Linked DNA regions of Oryzias latipes. The protein of the gene in region 2 interacts with the protein of the main gene of each other region in a biochemical or structural test. Links are inferred from orthologs where the notes say so. Each region holds a gene or a part of one and is shown on either strand. Other genes may lie near its edges.

Region 1 (8,435 bases), on a different chromosome or scaffold from region 2:
GTCTAGTGGGTCTACATGACCCAACTCCCAATGTTAAAGTGCCTAAAATAGCACAAGGGTTACATTGAGCATTTGTTGTAACTGCAGGATTTTTCTTGGGGTTTGGTTAGCTCCTGTAAAAATAATCATATCACATAAAGGTGTATAACTTATACTATAAGAAATCTTTTCCATCTGCCATTTAACCCTTGTACTATCCTATGGGGTCAAGATGACCATTGACGTGTTCTCCCTACCATGATAAAGGTGGATAAAGGTGAATAGGATTTCATGTAATCCATGGACACCAGTGAAGATCACAAATCATTGAAGAAAAAAGGTAAAGAGCACTGTCTTGTGGGGTCTATGTGACCCAACTCCCAATGTCAAAGTGCCAAGGATTGCACAAGGGTTGAAGGTGTTTTTTTTTCTTCTTACTTAAAAATCTGCTGATTTGTACTATTGAATAGCTGACACTGCAAATATGAAGAAAACGTTTACAGCTGACTATAACAGTCTGACATTGGCTAAAAGTAAACACTACTTCTTGTGTCCTCACAGGGCGACTCCGGGGGTCCGCTTGTCTGCAATGATTACTTTGAGGGTATTGTGTCCTGGGGCATCAGCTGCGCTAACCCATACTACCCCGGCGTCTACACCAAAGTGAGGCAGTACGTCAAATGGATCAACTGGATTATTAACAATGACTCTCCATGAGCCGTCACTGAAAAGCTTGTTCTCAATATTGCTTCTATTGTTTGATGTAAAGGTAACCTGTTGATCAAAGTTATGTCAAAAGGGGATTTGGGGTCAGTTTTTTTCCACAATATATTGTCCCTCGTCAATACATGACATTGAGAAGTATCTGTAGAGGTCAAAGGTTAGTCAGTTAGTGGAAACTTTTAAAATGACTCATTTGACTCAAATCACAGATACAATTTGCCACACAGAAGCTCTTGATTTTGCAACTTTGCACAGAAACACATTGGGACAAAGAATTGACATTTAAACCTTTCTAGTGCTATTACATCTAAAAGACAATCCAGAATAAAGCATCTGATGACAACAAAGATGAGCTGTTTGTTTTATTTTTCAAAGTGTTTCCATTTTCTTCAAGCATTTTATTTTATTCCTCATCATAAAAAATAATAAAAAATTAAAGAAGATCTCTGCCTCTGAAATATGTTTTAGGAAATACAGAAGACCCAGCATGGTTGGTGACTACCTGAACCTATAATAATTCATAACCAAAATTACTCACCATAAAACACATTTTAGACTGCTCCTTTAGGAAATATTTAAAGATGCCAGACATTTCTGACCTGTAAGTGTTATAAAAAATCAAATATCTGCTTCCAAAACCTTTGTTAGATAGGTTGCATAAATAATTAAACGTTAATGAGATTGCTTTATGTGATGAATATCTTTTTTTTTGGTCCAGGAAATTTCTTTCCGTCATCTATATTCTTAAACTGCTGAATCCCTTTTGGGGTTGCTGGAACGTTCCGACTCATGTTGAACAAAGGCGTGGTGCATCCTGGACCAGTCGCTAGTCAGCAAGGCTCAAGAACATTCTTTTTTCTCTGTAATCTTTGAGGGCAAGATTTTTTACCCATAATATACACTGAAAATGCACAGAGGCTTGTTTGGCCATGAGATACTGAAAAACAAAACCCAAGCATCAAAAAATCTCCTTAAAAGAAAAAAGGAAAAACAAACCAAAGCCAAATTGCAGAAGCATAATATCGATTAATAATTTAATTTAAATATATGAATGAATTAAGGAACAGTGATGTTAGTATTGTTCATATTTATAACAAGGATCATGGTCATAAATGTAAGAATTGATGTTATTGTAGGGATTTTGAATAAGCACAGACGTAACAATTTCATGGTGAAAATAACAATAGAAGGAGTAATAGGACTGATTTTGATTTTTAATAACCTATGTGTGCATTTCCATTAACACAAAAATTAATATGACCTTGATATGGTACCTGCAACTGTACCTGTAAAAGTTTTTTCACTCATAATTCAAAGTGACATGCAATTCTCAATAGGCAATTCAATTTTCCATTTGATCACACATTTTGCAATTGGCATTTCAATGCATTTTGTGATTTAGAATTCAAAATGAACAATAATTAAAATTAACTGTCACGGTTTTTTGATACTACAATTCAAATAAAATGCATTTTGCAACTTTTAATTAATTATGCTTTTTTATTATTTTATCATTATGAATTCTAAATCGCAAAATGCATTTTAAACTGGGACTAAACAGGGATATGGTCAATTCAGAATTGAATATTACTTTGAGTTATAGGTGAAACAAAACTTCCATATCTTAGAGACTTAGGGACATAGTCTGGAAACCCCCAGAGAAAACAAAGTTCTAACATTGAGGGAAAGAATAATTACAAATAAAAAAAATGTGTTAATCAAGCTAATGTTGTTAGCTGATTTAGATGTATTTATGCATTTGTCATCATATACTGTGTTAAAAATAACTTTTATTTCTGTCACATCATTCCTTTAACCTTCCAGTGCAAATTCTGACCAAAGCTCAGCAGGAACCTCCAAGTCCTACCCTGCGTCTATGGTCCTGCTTCAATAATACAGTTTTTATGTCACAAATAAACTACTTATCATTATAAAGACAAAAGAAGAAAATTAAAATTAATATCCAAAGAAAATAATTAACTTTCCTTAAAATGCACTGGTATTTTCCCCGCCCCTTTAAAATCATTCTGCCAATCCTGCCTGTTTCTCAGGATGGGTCAAGGGGATGAATATGATGCATTCAAAGTATATCCGTAACTAGAAAAAAAAAACAATGATGCTGGGATCCAAACAGCTCTAACTCAGTTTGTTACAACAATTACCGTTAATTAAAAATATAGACGATAATTTTAACTGCACAACACAAAATAAATGCGCTAAGGTGCTGAGGCCTGAAATATACAGTATTGTGGTTCCCACTCGTTGAAGGGGGCCATGAATGTATTTTATCTAAACCAATGACCATAGGTCCTTTGCGCATGCTCAGTAGCATTTGTTTTGTTTAACTTTGCTCCTCGCGGCAGCTGTTTGAGGCTGACCTGCATTCCCGGGGCTTTAAAACGTTTCTAAAAACCCTTCTGGGCTCACAATGTCTGTTAAACACGCTATTAGCCGAGGGCTGGAGTTGGGCCGGTCGATTTTTCAGCTGGGGGTCCTGAAAGCAGGTAGTCGGGTCGCAGCGAAGCTCCGAGCTGACCGAGTTCGTGCGGGCCCGGCCTTCCGGACCGCTCAGCCTCAGGCTTTCCTGCCTCTCCGATACCGGTATTACCGCACCTCACTGAGGGGTCTGGCAGCTCAGCTCCAGTGGGCTGGCTTCGTTAGGAGGTTTGCCGGAGGTTCACCGCGGAACAGAGCCGTCTTTCTGGCGTTTGGCCTCGGTGTGGGATTAATCGAGAAGCAGATTGAGGACGACAGGCTGAGTTTGGCAACGTGCAATGAGATAAAGGTATGAATTCCTGCTGTCATTTCAGTCTGAGCCTCAGTAGATCTGACATTTTATATTTGCGTTTTTTATAGCGACTGTTTTATGTTAAAACTTACTTAAAAAAATCATCGATTTTACTGTAATTTTATAGAAAAAACAAAATTTAGAACATAGCTGTGTAAATCTGTTGTTCAAATAAAATAAATTGACAAGTTTAATTCTTTCATTTATTGGGTCCAATGAGGTTAGTATTTATTATAGTAAAATATGTATTAATTAATCATTTTTTATCTATTTTAAAAGCGTTTCCAGTGGTCTTTTCATTAGGATTATTCCATTTAAAAAACGTTTGTTTTCTTGGACGTAGTGTCTGCAGTAGTTTATTAGAAATTCACCCCTGAGTTGTGGGCGGGACTGTTGCCACGGAGCAACCCCGCCCCCTTTCCTCTCCCAATTGCAGAGAGCTCTCTGTTTACATGCTCTCCCGCTAGCTTACAGCCCCCACACCCTCATCCCTAGCAGAAATGGTGAGCAATATTGGAGCTATCCAGAGGTAAACGAACACGGATCTTTGTCTGCAAGTTGTTGCTTTGGAATGGAGCAGAGCAGGCAGCTTGTGACCTGCCCAGCATGTTTTTTACATCACAAATACGATATTTTTTCAAACGGCATTGTTTCGTCTGCTCCTGATACATGTCAATGTGAAATGAACCGACAGTACAAGCTCATCCCTGGAAGTGACAAACTAAGTTATGCTGCAACTGACAACAACACAAACTTAAACTTTAGAATAGAATATAACTTTATCAATCACTTGTTACAACCTCTTTTGACAACGGCAAATAAATAACAAAAAAAAAATAAAACACTAGAAAAATGAATAACAATAACTATTGACCAGTGTCAGGTGTTAGAGTCTAATATCTGACAGGAGGAACGATCTGCAAAAGCTCTCATTCCTGTAGCTAAGTGTTCAAGTCTCTGACTGAAGGAGCTCCTCAGTGCACCGATTGCAGTAAATCCTGATGATGAAGAGGAATGTCCAGAATGGAGCTGGATCTTCACACTGTTCCTGTCAGTGCCATCATGAAATCTCTACAAGAGTCCTGCAATTTCTGAAGGACCTCAGTCTCCTTAGCCTCTCCTGCCCTCTGGTCGCTTCTCTAGCAGCATTTTGTTGTTGCCAAGCAACAACAACTGATTGTGTAAATCAGCGGTGTCAGAATCCAGGCCGTGAGGGTCCAACATGTTTTTCAAGCAACCTGCCATTGAAGCTCCTTATTGGCTAAACACACCTGATCCACAAGTCATCAGCAGCAGCAGCAGATAAGGCAGGATTTTTGGGAAACCAGCAGGAGGCCGGCCCTCGAGGCCTGGAGTCTGACACCCCACCCCCCCACCCCCCCCTCTGCTGTAAATGATGCACCTGCAGCCCGCTTGAGACCCAGAAGGGGTGGAAATTAGCCCAAAAAGGGGTGACATGCATGCCATCACACTGATTATGTGAAAAAATATCCATGTCCATCAAAAAGAGGTCAATAATATGAAAGTAACAAAACAAAAACAAGGAAGTTAGCCTGAAGGAAAGTAGAGTAAATGTAAACCCATTAGCAGTAGTTTTAGCAAAAATAACTGGTTTGATGCTATTAGGTTTGTATGAATTCATGAGACAATTTTAATCAATGATACCACGCTGGTAGTTTGTCAAGCTTCTTAAATCTCAGAGCATCGGCTTCTACAAGGCTGTTTTAGTGTTAAAAGTTAAGTGTATAATTGTAGATTTCAAAAGGACACTTCATTTACATACCAAAGTAAAGACTTTGAACTCTGCTTTAATGAAACCTGAATCTAATTTCTCCTGAACTGCAGGCGGTGTTCAGAAAGAAGAAGTTCCAGAGCCCGCTCAAGCCCTTGGCCTATGGATACAAACTGGAGGATTACATTGTAGGAAACCAGATTGGGAAAGGATCCAACGCAGCTGTGTATGAAGCTGCACCTCAGTTTTTCTGCTCCAAGAAAAGCGATGGTGAGCCCGCCGCGGTGCAGATACGAGACAGTGAGGGCGAGGAAGGAAATCGCGTCATGCCATCTCTGAGTTGCTGCTCTCTAAGGAACTTCCCGCTGGCAATCAAGATGCTGTGGAACTTTGGGGTGGGTCATGGCCAGCACCCATGTATGTGGGGAGGGGAAGAAAGGTCGCTTTCTGACCGGTGTTGTGATTCTATGTGTTTGCAGGCAGGGTCATCAAACGAGGCGATCTTTAGATCGATGTCCCATGAGCTGGTTCCCACAGACCCCCTCGCTCTGGCGCCAGCAAAACAGCAACTTACTTTAGACGGGTAAATATGTTAACGAAGTCAAAGGGCTGCAACGAATCATTACTGAACCTGATCACTAGCCACAGTTGGGTGTGTTTTATTCGGGAGGAGGATGATCGGTTAGCATGACACTTGAATAACACACTTGAGGTACCGTAACTCTTCCACCATTTACGTGACCAACTTGTATCAGCTGATTCTGACGTGGAGATAAGCGGCTTTTCTTAGCGGCTTTGCATAGATATGTAACGTATTATGAACGTAAAGGGTTGCATCACAGCAATTTAAAAAGATGACAAAATCCATCAGAGTGTATAGTGGCAGATATGAGGCCATACTGCCTTGTGGAGAACAAGGGATTTGAATATATACCGTAAAAGAACAAGCAAAATCCCATCGCAACACAAAAATCATTCTAGAATTTTAAGAGCATGTAGAAGAATTATCTAGTCCAGAGGTTCTCAAAGTGCGACCCGGGGGCCAATGGTGGCCCGCGGGAAGATTTTTTTGTGGCCCTCGATAAAAGAGAGCCAGAGTAGGTTCCTTTGAGGAAAAACGTGTTGGCGAGGAGAAAAGGCGCTTTCAAGCTAAGTGGACAAATGCTTACTTTGTCGTACCTCATGGGCTGGATAAAGTCATGTGCCTTATTTGCAAGCAAAAAAATCATCACTATGTCACAAATCATAAAAACTATGACAACCGGCAAGGAGTGCAACTATAATCTCCAACAACTACAACGAGGCTATGCTGTACAGCAGATGTTTACAAAAATGGCTACATCCAGTGAAGCTGTGACAGAAGCTAGCTACATTGTGGCTTTGGAAATTGGAAATTTGGTCCAGCAAAGCAAGCCCTTCATTGACTGGGAGTTTGTAAAAACAATGTATGCTGGAAGTAGCTGACATTGTATGTCCAGATCAAAAGAAAGTCTGTCAAATGAAACTATTAACAGACGAGTAGAAGATCTGGGCAGCAACCTCCGACCGCAACTGGGAAAACATCTGGAGGGCCTGGTTAATGGCATTTGGTCATTAAAGTTATTAAAAACAACTTTTTTTTTTTTCACCAAAATTGGCCCCCAGTGTAATGTCGAGTTCATAATTTGGCCCTCTGCTACAAAAACGTTGAGAACCCCTGATCTAATGGATTATCCATTGCTCTCACCATACATGGGTGGAGGCCTGGCGCTCACTTTACCACACCAGATTGGTAGACGAGAAGCCCAGTATTGCAGAAAGACCAGAGAGTTGCACCAGAACCAATGGTGGGGCCAATGGTTTGTACACCAGGTTCTGTGTACAAAACGTGCAGCCACTGAACGCGCGTTGAAAGTGAAACCAGGTCGAGCTTTGACCAATCAGGGACTCTAGTGATGTACAGTGATCCCTTGCTATATCACGGTTTACTTTTCACGGTTTCGCTACTTCACGGATTTGGATTGTGCATTGTGTTCTGCATTCTGATTGGCTAAAAAGTCACTCAGCGAGTAGCTCAAGAATGGGACCCTTTGATGAGCCGTTCATTACAGTTCTCCAACATAATCGATGGTGGCATGTCGGTGTATAAGGATCTTTAGCAAAGAAGAAAAAAGAGCGACAACAACTGCCTATCACTATGTTCCTCTCCCGAACAAACACACCTGCAGCTGCACCGCGGGCTTCAGAAGGAAAAAACGCTGCAGAGGATGCAGCGGCTCAGTATGAAGAGCAGTGAAAAAGTAGACCGGAGTCACTATCTGTCCCACTGTACTTTTTTTATTTTTTTCATAATCATTTTAAATTTTCCTCCGTTTAATCCACTCGGGTCGCGGTGGGCGGGGCTAATCTCCGCAATTTAAAGCCTTCTGTTCTTATCGATGATTGAAATTATTATTTGACAGCACACTACAGAAGTTATTTGTTGAAAAACGTTTCTAAAGTACTTTTATTTGTTAAAAAAACAATTGATTTAGCCTGTTAAATGGTTTGTTCTTTCTTTTCAATGTATAATAGTGAATTTCATTGTATAATAATTGTAAAAAAATAAAGGTTTCTACTTCACGGGTTTTGCTTATCACGGGTTCTATTTGGAACGTAACCCCCGCGATAATCAAGGGATCACTGTATTTGATGGCAACCCTTAAAATTACAGAATTACCAAACGCTTAGAAATAATCATGGAGGAGCTGAATAATTTAGGTGTGTGTCTGGCCAGAATTCTATAACGCCAAGTCTTTCATATATCAGAATGGAGCTGTAAATTCACAAGATTTGCACCTCTTTGACGTTTCAATTTCCCTCTTCCAACTGTAGGTGGCAAACTTTCACTATTATACAGTAGAAAAAGGAAAAAAAAAGAGGAAGAAGCCCGCTGCTTGTTGAAAGCGTGTTCTTGAACACATGTTGCATATCCGGTGTGAATGTCCCCAAAGTCAACAATTTCCTCACCACAGATAATTCCAGAAACCCAATTAATGCAGTATCAACAGTTTGAGGTCAAAGGTGTTCATTTGACCCCTATGTCTTTATAGTCCTGTCTTTCAGGCCAGAATCAGGAGCAGTATATTAAATATCCCAAATCTATTTCTGTGCAGAAACTTTGGAGTCGTGCCCAGACGCGTGTCAGCTCACCCCAACGTGATCAGAGTGTACCGGGCGTTCACAGCGGACGTC
Region 2 (6,840 bases):
CGTAAAGAGACAGTTGGTATTAAAACTTTAAAACTTCCTTCCTGTTTATCATTATTATTACAACTTTCTAGAGGTTGTAAGAAAACTAATAATTCTATTTTAGTAAAGGGCGGGGCTTAATTAGAGCGCAGCAGTTCTGAACTCCGCCCACGTGCGCGCGGGGGGGGGGGGGGTAGCTGTCACAGGAATCTTTCCGCTCAGTTTCAATTCAGTTCTACGTTCAGAACCTCAAGGTTTGATATTTTGAAGCTGGTTTAGCTTTCCCAGTGAAGTATGAGAACATTGCAGGAGCGCGCCTGAACGTGCAGGAGCGCGCCTGAGCGTGCAGGAGCGCGCCTGAGCGTGCAGGAGCGCGCCTGAGCGTGCAGGAGCGCGTCCACGCGACCAAACCTGCATGACACCAAAGCAAAAGTGAGCAAATAAAGCAGCTTCTGCTGGAAACCATCAGTTTACTTCTGTGGGGCTCAACGTGTGGCTGCAGCTGCTGTTGTGTTTGTGGGTGCTCAGCTGTTTGTAAGTGGGGGGCACGTGGCTTTATCTGCAGCATGAAGCTGCGGGTTCGAATCCAGCGGCAGACCAGCAGGCTGGAGGTCCAGGGAGAGGCGCCCACCCTGCAGGAGCTGGCAGAGCTGATCCGGCAGACGCTGCTGCCGTCTCACGGACTCAGGTTCCTCCACCGCTGCTCGTCCGTATTGATCCTGATGTTTGAGGAAGACCTCCTGAACTCTGCCTCCATCCTCTCAGCGCCGACACGGCCTTCGGACTGTCCCTGAACGGCTCGGATCTGCTGTCCGACTCCGCCCAGACCCTGGTGTCCTGCGGCATCGACTCTGGAGATCTGATCTGGGTCCTGCTGCCCCCGTCTGCAGCTCCAGAGACCAGCGCAGTGACCGATGCTCAGCAGAGCTGCGGCTCCGCCTGCAGCTCCGCCCACAGCCAGGTGAGTCGTTTGGCTTAGTAAGTGAATGTTTTGACACAAAAGGAGGTCAGAAACCTTCATCCTGAAGAAGATTGGCCTTAGGAGGTCTGGACTTTAGAGAACTTCAGAGAGGAAGATGAATCCAGTGGCTTTCTGTGACGTCACTTTCTCAGTGGGGCGCCCCCTGGAGGCCAGACAGCCGTTGTGACATCATCATCACTGACGTCACTGACGCAGCGGACCATCAGGAGTCTGGTGGTCACGTGACTGTCGCTGTGCAGACACGCTTCTCTTCAGGTCTCCTGTCCTTCAAACTGAAGCGTTCTTGGGGGGTTCTGCGATGTCCTGAGGGGTTCTGGGATGTCCCGAGGGGTTCTGAAGGGTTCTGCGATGTCCTGAGGGGTTCTGTGATGTTTTAAGGGGTTCTGCGATGTCCTGAGGGGTTCTGCGATGTCCTGAGGGGTTCTGAAGGGTTCTGCGATGTTCTGAGGGGTTCTGCGATGTCCTGAGGGGTTCTGCGATGTCCTGAGGGGTTCTGCGATGTCCTGAGGGGTTCTGCGATGTTCTGAGGGGTTCTGCGATGTCCTGAGGGGTTCTGCGATGTCCTGAGGGGTTCTGCGATGTCCTGAGGGGTTCTGCGATGTCCTGAGGGGTTCTGCGATGTCCTGAGGGGTTCTGCGATGTCCTGATGGGTTCTGAAGGGTTCTGCGGTGTCCTGAAGGGTTCTGCGATGTCCTGAGGGGTTCTGGGATGTCCTGAGGGGTTCTGGGATGTCCTGAGGGGTTCTGCGATGTCCTGAGGGGTTCTGGGAAGTCCTGAGGGGTTCTGCGAATGTCCTGAGGGGTTCTGCGATGTCCTCAGGGGTTCTGGGAAGTCCTGAGGGGTTCTGCGATGTCCTGAGGGGTTCTGCGATGTCCTGAGGGGTTCTGCGAATGTCCTGAGGGGTTCTGCGATGTCCTCAGGGGTTCTGGGAAGTCCTGAGGGGTTCTGCAGTAGACAGGAGGAGCTTCTTGTCTGACTCAGCGGTGAGGAGCAGAAGCTCCTCAGAATCCAAAGGTGAAGATGGATCCAGACCTCGGTTCATTTTCAGAAGAACCTGTCCAGCGTTCTTCCTCCCCGCCGTTCCTGAAATGTTCCGGTTGATCTTCTGATGATGAAGATCTGCGTTCAGCCTCCTCTGTCTCCTCCATCTGCGACCTCTTGTTGTCTTCACGTCTTTCTGGTCCGAATGAAACGGCTTCTGTTCTTCCCTCCAGCCGCCTGGCAGCATCGAACCCGCGGGCTCGGCCCAGCCAGACGCTGACCCGGCGCCGCTCTGGGAGCCCATCCTGTGCAGCGAGGCGGAGGACGGTCAGGCCCCCCTGTCCCTGGACCTCCTCTACCACACGGCGCAGGTCAGCTGTCCTGACGACGCCGTGGTGGTGGCGTCGCACGTTCTCATGCTGGAGGCCGGCTTCACGTCGCAAGTGAGTGGAACGGGGGCTTTTTCTCTGTCCTGGGGGGTCCTCGGGGGCCCGGCGGTCTCACCTCTGCTGTCTTCAGGGCTGTGCGATGAAGCCTGCTGAAATGCCGGCAGGGTGGAGGTCCAGCGCCACCACCTACAGGCTGCAGTACACTCACCCTCTGTGTGGCAGCAGCTCTGCCTCCGTGGTGGGCGTGGTCATGGGCCCCCAGCTCGTCGTCAACGGTGAGGTTTTTCAGCGTCTTCAGAGGAAGGCGTCCCAGACTCTGACGTTTCCGGTTGGTGTTCTGTAGCCACCCTGAAGGTTCTAGAGAATGTGGGTTCGGTCCGGAAGCTCCAGTTGAAGGCGTCCAGCTTCGTGACTCAGGAGTGGGCAGGTAGGCAGGCGGCGGGGAGGCTCGACGCCGCAGCGCCGCTGAGTAATGCTGTGTGTGCTGTCCTTCAGGGGGAAGTGCCGCCGCGGCCTTCAAGGACCTCCGAAAGCTGTCCCGCGTCTTCAAAGACCAGCTGGCCTACCCTCTGATCGCCGCCGCCAGAGAAGGTAAACGCAGCCGAGGGGGCCGGTCTGCTTTTGTGAGCCACGCCCACAAGGAGGCAGAGGGTGGAGCTACCAGGAAGCTGTGGCGCCCCCTACAGGGAGCAGCAGAACGTTTGATCAAATGTTAGGGGTGCAGGTAGGGCCGGGAGAATGTTTGATATCACAATATCGTTTTATTCATCCTTTTTAAAAAAAGATTGAAATATTGTTGTGGCACAGACTTAGTATGTTTCTTGATATCCATCGTATCGCCAATACATGCCGCTATAAAATATTAAAAAGAACAGAAAATGCTGTCAAACAGGAAACGCATCATTTGAACGGCGATGGACTTCCTGGTGTCTCCCTGCTGTGGCTTTCTGTACCACTGGGGGGCGCCAGAGTGTGAATCAGAGTGGAGCAGAAAGCGTTTTCTTTCCGTTGCAGCCATGGCTCTGCCCTGGGCGTTCGGCCTGCAGGCCCTCCCTCCAGAGCTTCTCCTCAGGGTGCTCCGCCTGCTGGACGTGCGCTCGCTTCTCAGGCTGTCCGCCGTCTGTCGACTTCTGAACGCCGCAGCAGCAGACTCCTCGCTGTGGAGACACCTGTACCGCCGTGATTTCCCAGGTTAGAGCTGCTTCTCCGCCACGTTTTTTTAAACTTCAGAATCAGAGAAGCTGCACGTTCTTCAGCCAGAGACCAGCTGCGGACCAGGATTCACCAGGAAAACAGACATTTCTGTGTTTTTACACACATGTAGAGAATAAATGAAGCTACTAGTCTGATCTAAAGACGTCAGCAGATTATTCTTCAGTTTCTGTTGAATGTGAAGGAACCGCGTTTTCAGTCTGAAACATTTGGACCTCAATGATGTCATGTTTGTGCTTCAGGTTCTGGTGGAAACAGATCAAATGACTCGGACTGGAAGGAGGTGAGGAGGGAGTGAAACTGTCACACGGGTGTGAGATGTGTGGGGACCCACAGTGATGGGTCCTCCACGGCTTTGATTTCAGTCAAAGGAGGCTTTTAATTAGAAAATCTAACTAATATGTGTGAAGCTTAGAGGACAAACCAGAACATGAACAGAAGGAAGGTGGGCTTAATTCATGAATGAATCAGCCTGTAAACAGCCTGCAAACAGTCTGTAAACATTCTGCAAACAGCCTGCAAACAGTCTGTAAACAGTCTGCAAACAGCCTGCAAACAGTCTGCAAACAGCCTGCAAACAGCCTGCAAACAGTCTGCAAACAGTCTGCAAACAGTCTGCAATCAGCCTGTAAACAGTCTGCAAACATTCTGCAAACAGCCTGCAATCAGCCTGCAGACAGTCTGCAATCAGCCTGCAAACAGTCTGTAAACAGCCTGGAAACAGTCTGTAAACAGCCTGCAATCAGCCTGCAGACAGTCTGCAATCAGCCTGCAAACAGTCTGTAAACAGCCTGCAAACAGTCTGTAAACAGTCTGTAAACAGTCTGCAAACAGCCTGCAAACAGTCTGTAAACATTCTGCAATCAGCCTGCAAACAGTCTGTAAACAGCCTGCAATCAGCCTGCAGACAGTCTGCAATCAGCCTGCAAACAGTCTGTAAACAGCCTGCAAACAGCCTGCAAACAGTCTGTAAACAGTCTGCAAACAGCCTGCAAACAGTCTGCAAAAAGCCTGTAAACAGTCTGTAAACAGCCTGCAAACAGTCTGTAAACAGTCTGCAAACAGCCTGCAAACAGTCTGCAAACAGTCTGCAAACAGTCTGCAATCAGCCTGTAAACAGTCTGCAAACATTCTGCAAACAGCCTGCAATCAGCCTGCAGACAGTCTGCAATCAGCCTGCAAACAGTCTGTAAACAGCCTGGAAACAGTCTGTAAACAGCCTGCAATCAGCCTGCAGACAGTCTGCAATCAGCCTGCAAACAGTCTGTAAACAGCCTGCAAACAGTCTGTAAACAGTCTGTAAACAGTCTGCAAACAGCCTGCAAACAGTCTGTAAACATTCTGCAATCAGCCTGCAGACAGTCTGCAATCAGCCTGCAAACAGTCTGTAAACAGCCTGCAAACAGTCTGTAAACAGTCTGCAAACAGCCTGCAAACAGCCTGCAAACATTCTGCAAACAGTCTGCAATCAGCCTGCAGACAGTCTGCAATCAGCCTGCAAACAGTCTGTAAACAGCCTGCAAACAGTCTGTAAACAGTCTGCAAACAGCCTGCAAACAGTCTGTAAACATTCTGCAATCAGCCTGCAAACAGCCTGCAATCAGCCTGCAATCAGCCTGTAAACAGTCTGCAAACAGTCTGCAAACAGTCTGCAAACAGTCTGTTAACAGTCTGCAAACAGTCTGCAAACAGTCTGCAATCAGCCTGCAAACAGCCTGTAAACAGTCTGCAAAAAGTCTGTAAACAGCCAGCAAACAGTCTGCAAACATTCTGCAAACAGCCTGCAATCAGCCTGCAAACAGCCTGTAAACAGTCTGCAAACAGCCTGTAAACAGCCTGCAAACAGTCTGTAAACAGCCTGCAAACAGTCTGTAAACATTCTGCAATCAGCCTGCAAACAGTCTGTAAACAGCCTGTAAACAGTCTGCAAACAGTCTGTAAACAGTTTGCAAACAGTCTGCAATCAGCCTGTAAACATTCTGCAAACAGCCTGTAATCAGCCTGCAAACAGTCTGTAAACAGCCTGTAAACAGTCTCCAATCAGCCTGCAAACATTCTGCAATCAGCCTGCAAACAGCCTGTAAACAGTTTGCAAACATTCTGCAATCAGCCTGCAAACAGTTTGCAAACAGTCTGCAATCAGCCTGCAACCAGCCTGTAAACAGCCTGTAAACAGTCTGCAAACAGTCTGCAACCAGCCTGTAAACAGTCTGTAAACATTCTGCAATCAGCCTGCAAACATTCTGCAATCAGCCTGCAAACAGTTTGCAAACAGTCTGCAATCAGCCTGCAACCAGCCTGCAAACAGTCTGCAATCAGCCTGCAAACAGCCTGTAAACAGCCTGTAAACAGTCTGCAAACAGTCTGCAACCAGCCTGTAAACAGTCTGTAAACATTCTGCAATCAGCCTGCAAACAGTCTGCAATCAGCCTGCAAACATTCTGCAATCAGCCTGCAAACAGCCTGTAAACAGTCTGCAATCAGCCTTTAAACAGCCTGTAAACAGTCTGCAATCAGCCTGCAAACAGCCTGTAAACATTCTGCAATCAGCCTGCAACCAGCCTGTAAACAGTCTGCAATCAGCCTTTAAACAGCCTGTAAACAGTCTGCAATCAGCCTGCAAACAGCCTGTAAACATTCTGCAATCAGCCTGCAACCAGCCTGTAAACAGTCTGCAAACAGCCTGTCTCACCTGTTGCCATGTTTCCTTTCAGCTCTACAAAACGATGTTTGTCTTTCGCTCTGAAAGCCGCCGCAGCGCCACCCGACTGATGACCCCTCCTATTGGCCATCACATCTTTCATCCTTTGCCCCGCCCCTTCCCCCCTGTGCCAGGCATTATTGGGGGGGATTATGACCAAAGACCCAATCTCCCGCACGGCCTCCTGCCCCGCCCCCGACACGACCCCATTGGGCCCCTTTCAGACCCCCTTGGTCGACCGCTACCCCGGTTCAGATCATTTGGGGGCAAGGCAGCCGACATCCGGCGGGGTTTCATCTGAACATTGAATCCTGGAAGGAACGCCATGACCACACGTGGGGGGTGTGGCCTCCATGTGAGAGCCCCGTGATCCAAAGAAGAAATGACACTGTGCTGGAAAGCTTGATTTATTATTATTTTGGTTTTTTTTATAAACAGCTGAAGACCAGTGTGAAACAATCTGACTGTTCCTGTGTGTCCCTGAATGCACCACAGTGTTTTAGCCTGAAAGACTAACGCGGGTTTCTGGGTCAGAGCGAGCTGTGGTCGCCCTGACAAAACCACGTGACACACCAACACCTGAGTGACGGAGAAGG

Evidence for each region.
Region 1: the proteins of fbxo7 (region 2) and pink1 form a complex in vitro, tested with the Homo sapiens proteins (2 studies listed by BioGRID, with this or other methods). The link is inferred for Oryzias latipes from reciprocal best matches to the Homo sapiens genes FBXO7 and PINK1.

The regions. Positions count from the first base shown.
Region 1 is NC_019865.2:23,687,445-23,695,879, forward strand, and holds the start of pink1 (serine/threonine-protein kinase PINK1, mitochondrial), read left to right. Parts: upstream 1-3,018; 5' UTR 3,019-3,130; coding exon 3,131-3,487; intron 3,488-5,335; coding exon 5,336-5,617; intron 5,618-5,701; coding exon 5,702-5,805; intron 5,806-8,356; coding exon 8,357-8,435. Other genes in the region: trypsin-2-like, read left to right, coding at 541-696. UniProt on the Homo sapiens protein: Serine/threonine-protein kinase which acts as a sensor of mitochondrial damage and protects against mitochondrial dysfunction during cellular stress.
Region 2 is NC_019881.2:23,754,502-23,761,341, forward strand, and holds the end of fbxo7 (F-box only protein 7), read left to right. Parts: intron 1-544; 5' UTR 545-545; coding exon 546-667; intron 668-744; coding exon 745-940; intron 941-2,175; coding exon 2,176-2,385; intron 2,386-2,461; coding exon 2,462-2,606; intron 2,607-2,674; coding exon 2,675-2,758; intron 2,759-2,826; coding exon 2,827-2,922; intron 2,923-3,345; coding exon 3,346-3,522; intron 3,523-3,785; coding exon 3,786-3,826; intron 3,827-6,257; coding exon 6,258-6,545; 3' UTR 6,546-6,703; downstream 6,704-6,840. UniProt on the Homo sapiens protein: Substrate recognition component of a SCF (SKP1-CUL1-F-box protein) E3 ubiquitin-protein ligase complex which mediates the ubiquitination and subsequent proteasomal degradation of target proteins and plays a role in several biological processes such as cell cycle, cell proliferation, or maintenance of chromosome stability.